Linked DNA regions of Arabidopsis thaliana. The protein of the gene in region 1 interacts with the protein of each later gene in a pairwise test. Each region holds a gene or a part of one and is shown in the gene's direction. Other genes may lie near its edges.

Region 1 (4,166 bases):
TTCTGAGGAAGAAGGTGCAATCTGTTGGAAAGGAACATGCTTCTCTCTGCGCCAAGGTCAGACTCCTCAGTTCCGTCAAAAGCATATTGTGTCTTACATTTTAGTTAATCCCATATACTGTAGATTGTGATTGGTACTACATCAGTAAAGGCCTTATAAGCTTCATACCGATCCCATTTTTTTCATCTTATTCTATCATATATCAGTGTAGGAAAAGTTAAACATCTTTCAATTTCGTTGCAGGCTTTGTCAAAGAAGGAGGCAGAGGAACGCTTGAGCGAAGGTGTGGAGAAGCTGGAATTGGTTTTCCAACAACAAGGGGGAGCTGTTGATGATTTGCTAACTATAGCGAAGGTTCCTTACTAGAATCTTTTGTTTGTCTCTTCCAGTGTTATCAGAATTGTATGTATGAACAGAGTTACGCACTTTGCAGGTTTTGAGGGCTATGCCAGTTGTTGACTTGGAAATGCCGACTCTTTGCCTTGTCGGAGCACCAAACGTTGGGAAGTCATCATTGGTTCGCATACTGTCAACAGGGAAGCCTGAGGTCTGCCTTATGTACCAATCTTTATATATGTGATAATAACTTGCATTGTCTAATGCTTATGGTTTTTTCGGTTGTCAGATTTGCAATTATCCTTTCACAACCAGAGGAATTCTGATGGGTCACATCGTTTTAAACTACCAACGATTTCAGGTTGCGTTGCTTACTTCGCTGCGTCTAATCACTTTCCTCATGATATAGATTATTGAATCATCCAGAAACGCATTGCAGGTTACAGACACCCCTGGCCTTCTTAGGAGATGCGATGGTAAAGTCTAGTTGCTACGAACTCTCATGTGGATGAATAACTATATGATATTTGATTAAGTCTTGATTCTTGTATTTTTTTATTTGGTAATTACAGAGGATAGGAATAATCTAGAGAAGTTAACTCTTGCTGTACTCACTCATCTTCCAACCGCGGTTCTATATGTTCATGATCTAACGGGAGAATGTGGGACTTCTCCTTCTGATCAGGTATATAGTAAGAAACAAATCCTTATGGATTTCGTTGCATCAGATGTGTCAAAGGAAAGCACAAGAATGTGCACCGTTATCTGATTTGCCGAATAATTGGGTCTGATATATCCTGATTCAGTTATATGTTTGTTGTGAGGGCATTGCAGTTTCAAATATATAAAGAGATGAAAGAGAGGTTTAAGGATTACCTGTGGATTGATGCTGTGTCCAAATGCGATCTGCTGGGAGGCTCACCGGTGATGTATGCCAAAGAAGATAGAAGCAGTGATGACGCGGAAATCATTAAGTACCGGGAAAGAGGACCTGATGAATCAATTCATGTCTCGGTGAAAACAGAACAAGGTCTCAATGAGGTATGAAACTTACCAGAAATATTTAATGTGGAAAGAAAGCAAGAGTGTGTTTTGAGTGGTCTGTTTCTCTACATGGCTCTGCAGCTAAAGAACAAAGTGAAGGAAGTACTGAGTAGTGAGATGGAGAAGATCCAAAGTGGAGAGAAAACTGATCAAAGTGTTGCTACTTGCTAGTGCTTAGCTAGAGATTTTTTGCCCATTTTAGCATTTTGACATTAATGTCTCATTTGTTTTTAATATACTTAAATAGGATTAAAATCTTAATGCATTATATATACATAGCTATTTCTCTCCTCCCTTGTTAGTAGTGGATTTGGTACGCATATATATATATACATATATAAGTTTTAGCAATAATGCAGGATTAGATTGTTTTTAAAAAAAGAGAAAAATGTTGCCAAAGGAAAATTGTGACGCACAAAAAAAGGAACGATCCTGAAATTGTCAGAAGTAGACAGAAACAAGAAAACTTGTGGAGAACAATAAAATATCGGATTCAGAACAGAGATTAAAAAAAAATATTAAAAAAATAGAAATCGATAAGTAATAATAATATTATCTCTTCTTCTCTGCTTCCATTTTGGGTATCGATAAACCACCACATCCTTCCCTGAAACCCTAACCACAACAATCGCCGCCGTCTCTAGAAATATCCATCCACCTACTTCGGCTTTGTTTATCAGGTTCGATATATCTATCACCACCGCCTTCTTATCTCAATTTCTGTGTTTGATTTTTGCTTTGTTGGTGTTTGATTTTACCGCAGATTTTGATGAAACCAGATCGGGTCTTCCTCTAGATCCGTTCTAGGTTTTCTATTTCCACCGTCTTATCATTATCATCATCATCAATTCATCATCATCATCAATAATCCAGATGCTCACCAAATTCGTCATTCATAGACATGTCTCTGTTTCTGAAAGACGATTCGATTCAAATTCGCGAAGTCTGGAACGATAACCTTCAAGAAGAAATGGATCTGATCCGAGATGTCGTCGACGACTTCCCTTACGTCGCCATGGACACTGAGTTCCCCGGCATCGTCGTCCGACCTGTCGGAACTTTCAAATCCAACGCTGATTACCACTACGAAACCTTGAAGACGAACGTCAACATCCTCAAGATGATCCAGCTTGGCCTCACTTTCTCCAATGAACAAGGCAACCTCCCTACCTGTGGCACTGACAAGTATTGCATCTGGCAATTCAATTTCCGAGAATTCGATCTCGATTCCGATATCTTCGCTCTCGATTCCATCGAGCTTCTCAAGCAATCAGGCATCGACCTTGCCAAAAACACGCTAGACGGGATCGATTCCAAGAGATTCGCAGAGCTCTTAATGTCCTCCGGGATCGTCTTGAACGAAAACGTGCATTGGGTTACATTCCACAGTGGGTACGATTTCGGATACTTGCTAAAGCTCTTGACTTGCCAAAACCTGCCGGATTCGCAAACAGACTTCTTCAAGCTCATCAACGTTTATTTTCCGACCGTGTACGACATTAAACACCTGATGAAGTTCTGCAACAGCCTTCACGGTGGTCTCAACAAGCTTGCGGAGTTGCTGGAAGTGGAGAGAGTTGGGATCTGTCACCAAGCTGGTTCGGATAGTTTACTCACGTCTTGTACTTTCAGAAAGCTCAAGGAGAATTTCTTCGTTGGTCCGTTGCACAAATATTCTGGTGTTTTGTATGGATTAGGTGTTGAAAATGGTCAGGTTGCTATCTAGCAAAAAATTAAATAAAAAATTTCCTGAAAACTATTTTCTCTCTTTTTCCATTATAAGAATGCATCATCAGACACTTATAACTCCACAAAATGTAGGATCTAAATTCAAAATAATTTAATGAAACATGAAAATGAAGAGGTATGATCACAATTGTCTGAAAGTTGAACTGTTTTGTGTCTGAAAATAAAGAGGCGAATGGGAAAAATGTTAGTTACCGTATGGATATGGTTGCGTGGGCCTAATATAAGGCCCACTGTTGCTATTGGATAGGGCCATTAAATTGCAATCAGCGTTTAGTTGGTATTATTGAATCTCAAGCCTCTTCTTCGCGCAAGCTTCGGTCATCATCATCTGAGGTTAGTGACTTGACACTCTTCTTCTCCGACGATTCTGAGGTTCATTTTCGTGACATACGGGGTTTCTATGTGATTACTGAGAACTTTGCCTTTCGCGCCGGTTCTCGTTGATTTTTTTTTTCGATTTAGGTATTTCCATGTGAGACTAACATTTGTGGCTCGTTTACTCGCAGATCAAAGGGACAGAGAACGTGTCTGGGTAAGTTTTAATGGTGTTTCTGGGTTATTGCTCTTATTTCCTAGTTGCGAATCTGCTGATTTGGTGAAGGATATAGCGTTCTAGGTTTTTTTAACTTGGTGTCTGTGATAGTAAACGCATTTACTAGTTATTGTCAAGATTTTGATTACTTACATCGTTGTGACCATCATTTCGATTGGTCTTCATATGTGCTTTTGCCTGTTCATTTATCTAATGGTTCTCTTTGTTTTGTTTGGCATAATAAAAGTCCAACTCTTAGTTGCTTAATTTCTTCTATTCTAACATGACTCTTAGAATTCTCACTACAGAACCTGTTTTGTTTCTTAAATCTGTTTTTCGTCAACTAATCCTATAAATCTGGTGATTACAGGCCACCTACTAGGATGGATAACAGTTCTGATGAAGAGTCAGAGATCAGTGAGTCTGAGATAGATGTCTATTATGAAAAACCTTACGAGAAACTGATGAATGGGGATTACAAGGTTAAGGTGAAGGACACATTCAG
Region 2 (4,773 bases), on another chromosome or scaffold:
GAAAATGTTTAAGCTCCGAATTAAAAAGAACATAGACCGTCGTTTGAATTGGTTTACTATCTTTACGTTCAATCTTATATCGATTTGTTTTGGTATAATTTCATTTTGATAAATCCAAAATGGTTTAAATCAGATTGTATCCTATGTTCCTAACTACTAGTTAGAATAATAATCTATTTTTAATATTGATTTTAATTCTTCTGATGGAGTATATAATAGTGCTCGACAATGTCATAATCAGTACAAAATAAATCACCTACCAACCTGAACTATATGTTATATATTTTGAGGGGCCACGTCAAGTGTGCCGTTTATTTTTGTGTTTATGATTGTTTAATATTTGTGCGTGTGATGGTGTTTCTTGCTTAGTTTCCACTTAATACACAATCAAATATCAAGTGGAACTATTTATGAAAATTGTTCTTCGAGAAGAATTCTGACCCTAAAAGGTCATTTGAGGGCTTGAGGCTTATTGTTTCCAAATTACACCAGTAAACAAGGGTTTTTTTTTGTCAACAAAGATTATTGTAATTCGAATTTCGTCTACAATAAAACAAATTTTCTTACTAAAACAAAACAATTAGCTGACGGTTGATATTTCGGCTTTTGAGTTTAATTAACTAATTGGTGATTATGTTGATGATCTTTCACACCTAATGAAGTGTCATGTATATGTATATATGTATATACTTATGTATATATAAAACGTACATATAATCATTTGTCATATATATCATCATGTATTGCATGACTAAACTACCCTTAAAAGAGGAATACGATAGACATGACCTTTAGGAATTTGTTTTTTTCTTCTAAATGGATTCCTTCGCTTCTTTTTAGCCTCGTAGTGAATTTGAACATTGCAGTTATTTCTAGTAAGATATTTTTTCTGTATTTTTCGGAAAATGTTAAAAACTAATTATACACAATTTACTTTCTCTCTCAACTCTTATTTTACGTTACTGTTTTTTTTTTCCTCTTGCAAAATTAGAGCTGCTGTATTTACATTTACTAGTAATTTGGTAGATAGACAGTTAATGTAGTATATAGATGGGGTTGAGGGCAAATGATTACTTGGGAGATGGTGCAATGCATCAGAGTGATGATGTGGAATTTAATAAGTGTGAATTTATGGGCAAAGGAAGGGAACTAGTAGTAGAAAGGGAAATAAATACAGTACAAGTAAGAGGAAAACGAAAAGAGAGATAGAAACCATAATAATGAGTTAACGCAGACATAGCCGCCATTTTCAACTTCTCACTCCCACTTACAACTTCTCCTTCTGGGCAAGTTTTCCACATCAATGCTCGTCTTAATCACCATTAATCTCTACTCATCATTAATACGTTGAAGCCCACTATTTCAAAATTTACTAGGAGTATTTATTCGTGAAAAACATTTAAATGTCCCTAATTATAAGAGATTTAATTTCATATTTATTGTATTAAAGAGAATTTACATTAGCTGTCAAAAAAAAAAAAAAAAGAGAATTAACATTATTTTACAGAACATAAAATTTTGAAAATAGATAGCGCCACTGCATGTAAGAACATACAAATTTCTTTTTTTCAACAAAATCTATTTATATTTCTTCTTTTTTTGAACATTATGTGTAGTTTGTAGTAAACTAAAAAGTGTGACCAACACAATTTAAATCATTCGATTTTGTAGCAAAAACATTTTTGTTCCAATTTCCAAGCAGCAAATATGGTAGGAATATAAATTCTTTACTATTTTTCCTCTTAACACATAAAAGTAAAAAAAGCATTCAATGATCAGTTAAAATCTGGTTAGAATTCTACCTTATCATTTAGAACTAGCTAATATTTAAATTCATATATACAAAAAATAAAATGGGAACTGTAGAGACTAGAGACTATAAATAGAGGATTGAGAAGAAGAACTTTTAAAGCTCTATCAATCATGAACTACTCGCCTTCTCCAACTTTTAAAACTCATCATAAATAGTAAAAAAGTAGCCGGAAAAATAAAATAAAAAGTCTATTTCTCTTTCCTTTAAAATCCAAATCCTATAAACTCATAGCTTTCTCTGTTCTTTACTTATACCTCACGTTATACATATATATAGAGTTTCTATAAATGCTTCTCTTTCCTCTCGAACAAATCTTCCTCACTTCTCTCATTTCCACACTCACCTTCCTCTCTATATATTAAACCCTATCTACTTAACTCTTCTTCTAACTCTAATCTCTCTCTCTATTTACTCTGCTTCTGTTCTCACTCTGAAAGAACCAAAACATGACGGTGGTTAGAGAGTACGACCCGACCCGAGACTTAGTCGGCGTGGAGGACGTGGAACGACGGTGTGAAGTCGGACCAAGCGGCAAGCTTTCTCTTTTCACCGACCTTTTGGGTGACCCGATTTGTAGAATCCGACATTCACCTTCCTATCTCATGCTGGTAATAACATGTTTCACAATCTTTTATCTTCTTTTACTTGTATGTCTCTTCAAAAACTCTGTTTGTTTTTTGAACCTAGAAGTAGAAAACATAGAACACCAACTTCTCAACCTTTGGTTAATCCAAAAAACCCATTTTCCATAAACAATTAAAGTTCGGTTCTTTTTTTGGTATCATTTCTATTTTTTTCCGATTCTTGATAAGATCAAAAGACTCATCATTTATATTATTTTTTGCAACCAAATGATACCCGAGTAACTATAACTAATAAAGTTTCCTCTTTATTATAAAAGGTTAAAAACATATAATAACGGAAAATTTAAATTATGGGACTGTAACAGGTGGCTGAGATGGGTACGGAGAAGAAGGAGATAGTGGGCATGATTAGAGGATGTATCAAAACCGTTACATGTGGCCAAAAACTCGATTTAAATCACAAATCTCAAAACGATGTCGTTAAGCCTCTTTACACTAAACTCGCTTACGTCTTGGGCCTTCGCGTCTCTCCTTTTCACAGGTACCCTTCCGTTTTCCTCCCACTCATAATCACACGCTATTATAGATTTTGGTTATCTAAACTAGTTTTGGTTTTTGCAGGAGACAAGGGATTGGGTTTAAGCTCGTGAAGATGATGGAGGAATGGTTTAGACAAAACGGAGCTGAGTATTCGTATATTGCAACTGAGAACGATAATCAAGCTTCTGTGAATTTGTTCACCGGGAAATGTGGTTATTCGGAGTTTCGTACACCGTCGATTTTGGTTAACCCGGTTTACGCTCATCGAGTTAATGTTTCGCGGCGAGTCACGGTTATCAAGTTAGAGCCGGTTGATGCTGAGACGTTGTACCGAATCCGGTTTAGCACAACAGAGTTTTTCCCGCGGGATATTGATTCGGTACTTAATAACAAACTCTCGCTTGGGACTTTCGTCGCGGTGCCACGTGGAAGCTGTTATGGATCCGGGTCTGGATCATGGCCCGGTTCGGCTAAATTCCTCGAATATCCACCCGAGTCATGGGCCGTATTAAGCGTGTGGAATTGTAAAGACTCGTTTCTGTTAGAAGTACGTGGAGCGTCGAGATTGAGACGTGTGGTGGCTAAAACGACGCGAGTAGTTGATAAAACGTTGCCGTTTCTGAAACTACCTTCGATACCGTCCGTTTTCGAACCTTTTGGACTTCATTTTATGTATGGAATCGGAGGAGAAGGTCCACGCGCGGTGAAGATGGTGAAATCCTTGTGTGCTCACGCGCATAACTTGGCTAAGGCAGGTGGTTGTGGTGTCGTGGCGGCGGAAGTTGCCGGAGAAGACCCGTTGCGGCGAGGAATACCACATTGGAAAGTGCTATCGTGTGACGAGGATCTTTGGTGTATAAAGCGGCTTGGAGATGACTATAGTGATGGTGTTGTTGGTGATTGGACTAAATCGCCACCTGGCGTTTCCATTTTTGTAGACCCTAGAGAATTTTAAAACTTTTTTTTTAACTCTATAATATATATTCTCTATTAACCACTTGATGTTAAATTAGGGGTTTTCTTCTAAGTTTATAGATTTTCTTGTTTTAGAATTAATCTTTTTTTTTAGGTAACTTTTTTTGCTTTTTGTTTTGTTTTGTTTTGTTTTTGTGGGTGTTATAAATTAGTGGTAAGAGGTAATATCTCCTACTTTTGGGTTTGTGTCTTCTTGTCTTGTAAATGGATCTAGCTTTTTAAGATACTTTTTCTTTGTGGCCAAACCAAAACGCCGACCTGATTATTATTTCCAAGTAGATAAAATTTCATGAACGCACTGATACGTATAATGATGCAATTTGTGTTAAGACGATACTTTGGAGATAAAATTACAATTATGACAATGATAGAAAATGTTACCAATAACGATTAGCATTATCGTGTGTGCCATCAAGTATAAACTAAGAGAAAGACGCACATTTTCTTAAGAGTAAATAAAATATTATGTATATTAGTTTAGTAGTTCTTTTTAGGTGGAGGATTTTGGTTCTTAGTACTTTGCTAATTCGAGTTTGATCATTGATATTTGATAGTGATTGGAGAATAAAAACTTCTTTTGATATCGCTAATCTTACGTGTAAATGACATGAATATCAATGTCATGGACCACACTTTTTCCCCCAAATATGGTCCAAAGATGTTCAACTGATAGATTTATATGTTTCTTTTGTTGGTTTGCGGTAGCAAAAGCTATATCATGATGAAACCTTTGAATCGGGTTTGAGAACGTGTCCTTGTCCGAAAGAGGTATTGTCGAGTCGAGAGCACCGATCGAGTCAGGGAAATTGTTTATACTATAAGGTCTTGACCATCACATAATAAGACATGTGGATAACTTCG

What was found.
Region 2: the proteins of AT1G80780 (region 1) and HLS1 interact in binary tests that used the Arabidopsis thaliana proteins (3 or more experiments, as listed by UniProt).

Annotation. Positions count from the first base shown.
Region 1 is NC_003070.9:30,356,236-30,360,401, forward strand, and holds AT1G80780 (Polynucleotidyl transferase, ribonuclease H-like superfamily protein), read left to right. Parts: upstream 1-1,926; 5' UTR 1,927-2,060; exon of another isoform or gene 2,061-2,143; 5' UTR 2,144-2,281; coding exon 2,282-3,089; coding exon of another isoform or gene 3,090-3,106; exon of another isoform or gene 3,107-3,295; coding exon 3,296-3,348; 3' UTR 3,349-3,371; downstream 3,372-4,166. Other genes in the region: PDE318 (P-loop containing nucleoside triphosphate hydrolases superfamily protein), read left to right, coding at 1-56, 244-354, 434-547, 626-697, 776-812, 909-1,021, 1,171-1,377, 1,462-1,551; FDM5 (XH/XS domain-containing protein), read left to right, coding at 4,045-4,166.
Region 2 is NC_003075.7:17,656,673-17,661,445, forward strand, and holds HLS1 (Acyl-CoA N-acyltransferases (NAT) superfamily protein), read left to right. Parts: upstream 1-1,921; 5' UTR 1,922-2,259; coding exon 2,260-2,421; intron 2,422-2,709; exon of another isoform or gene 2,710-2,762; coding exon 2,763-2,938; intron 2,939-3,018; coding exon 3,019-3,892; 3' UTR 3,893-4,206; downstream 4,207-4,773. UniProt on the Arabidopsis thaliana protein: Ethylene-responsive N-acetyltransferase required for differential cell elongation in the hypocotyl. Regulates apical hook formation of dark-grown seedlings. May control differential cell growth by regulating auxin activity.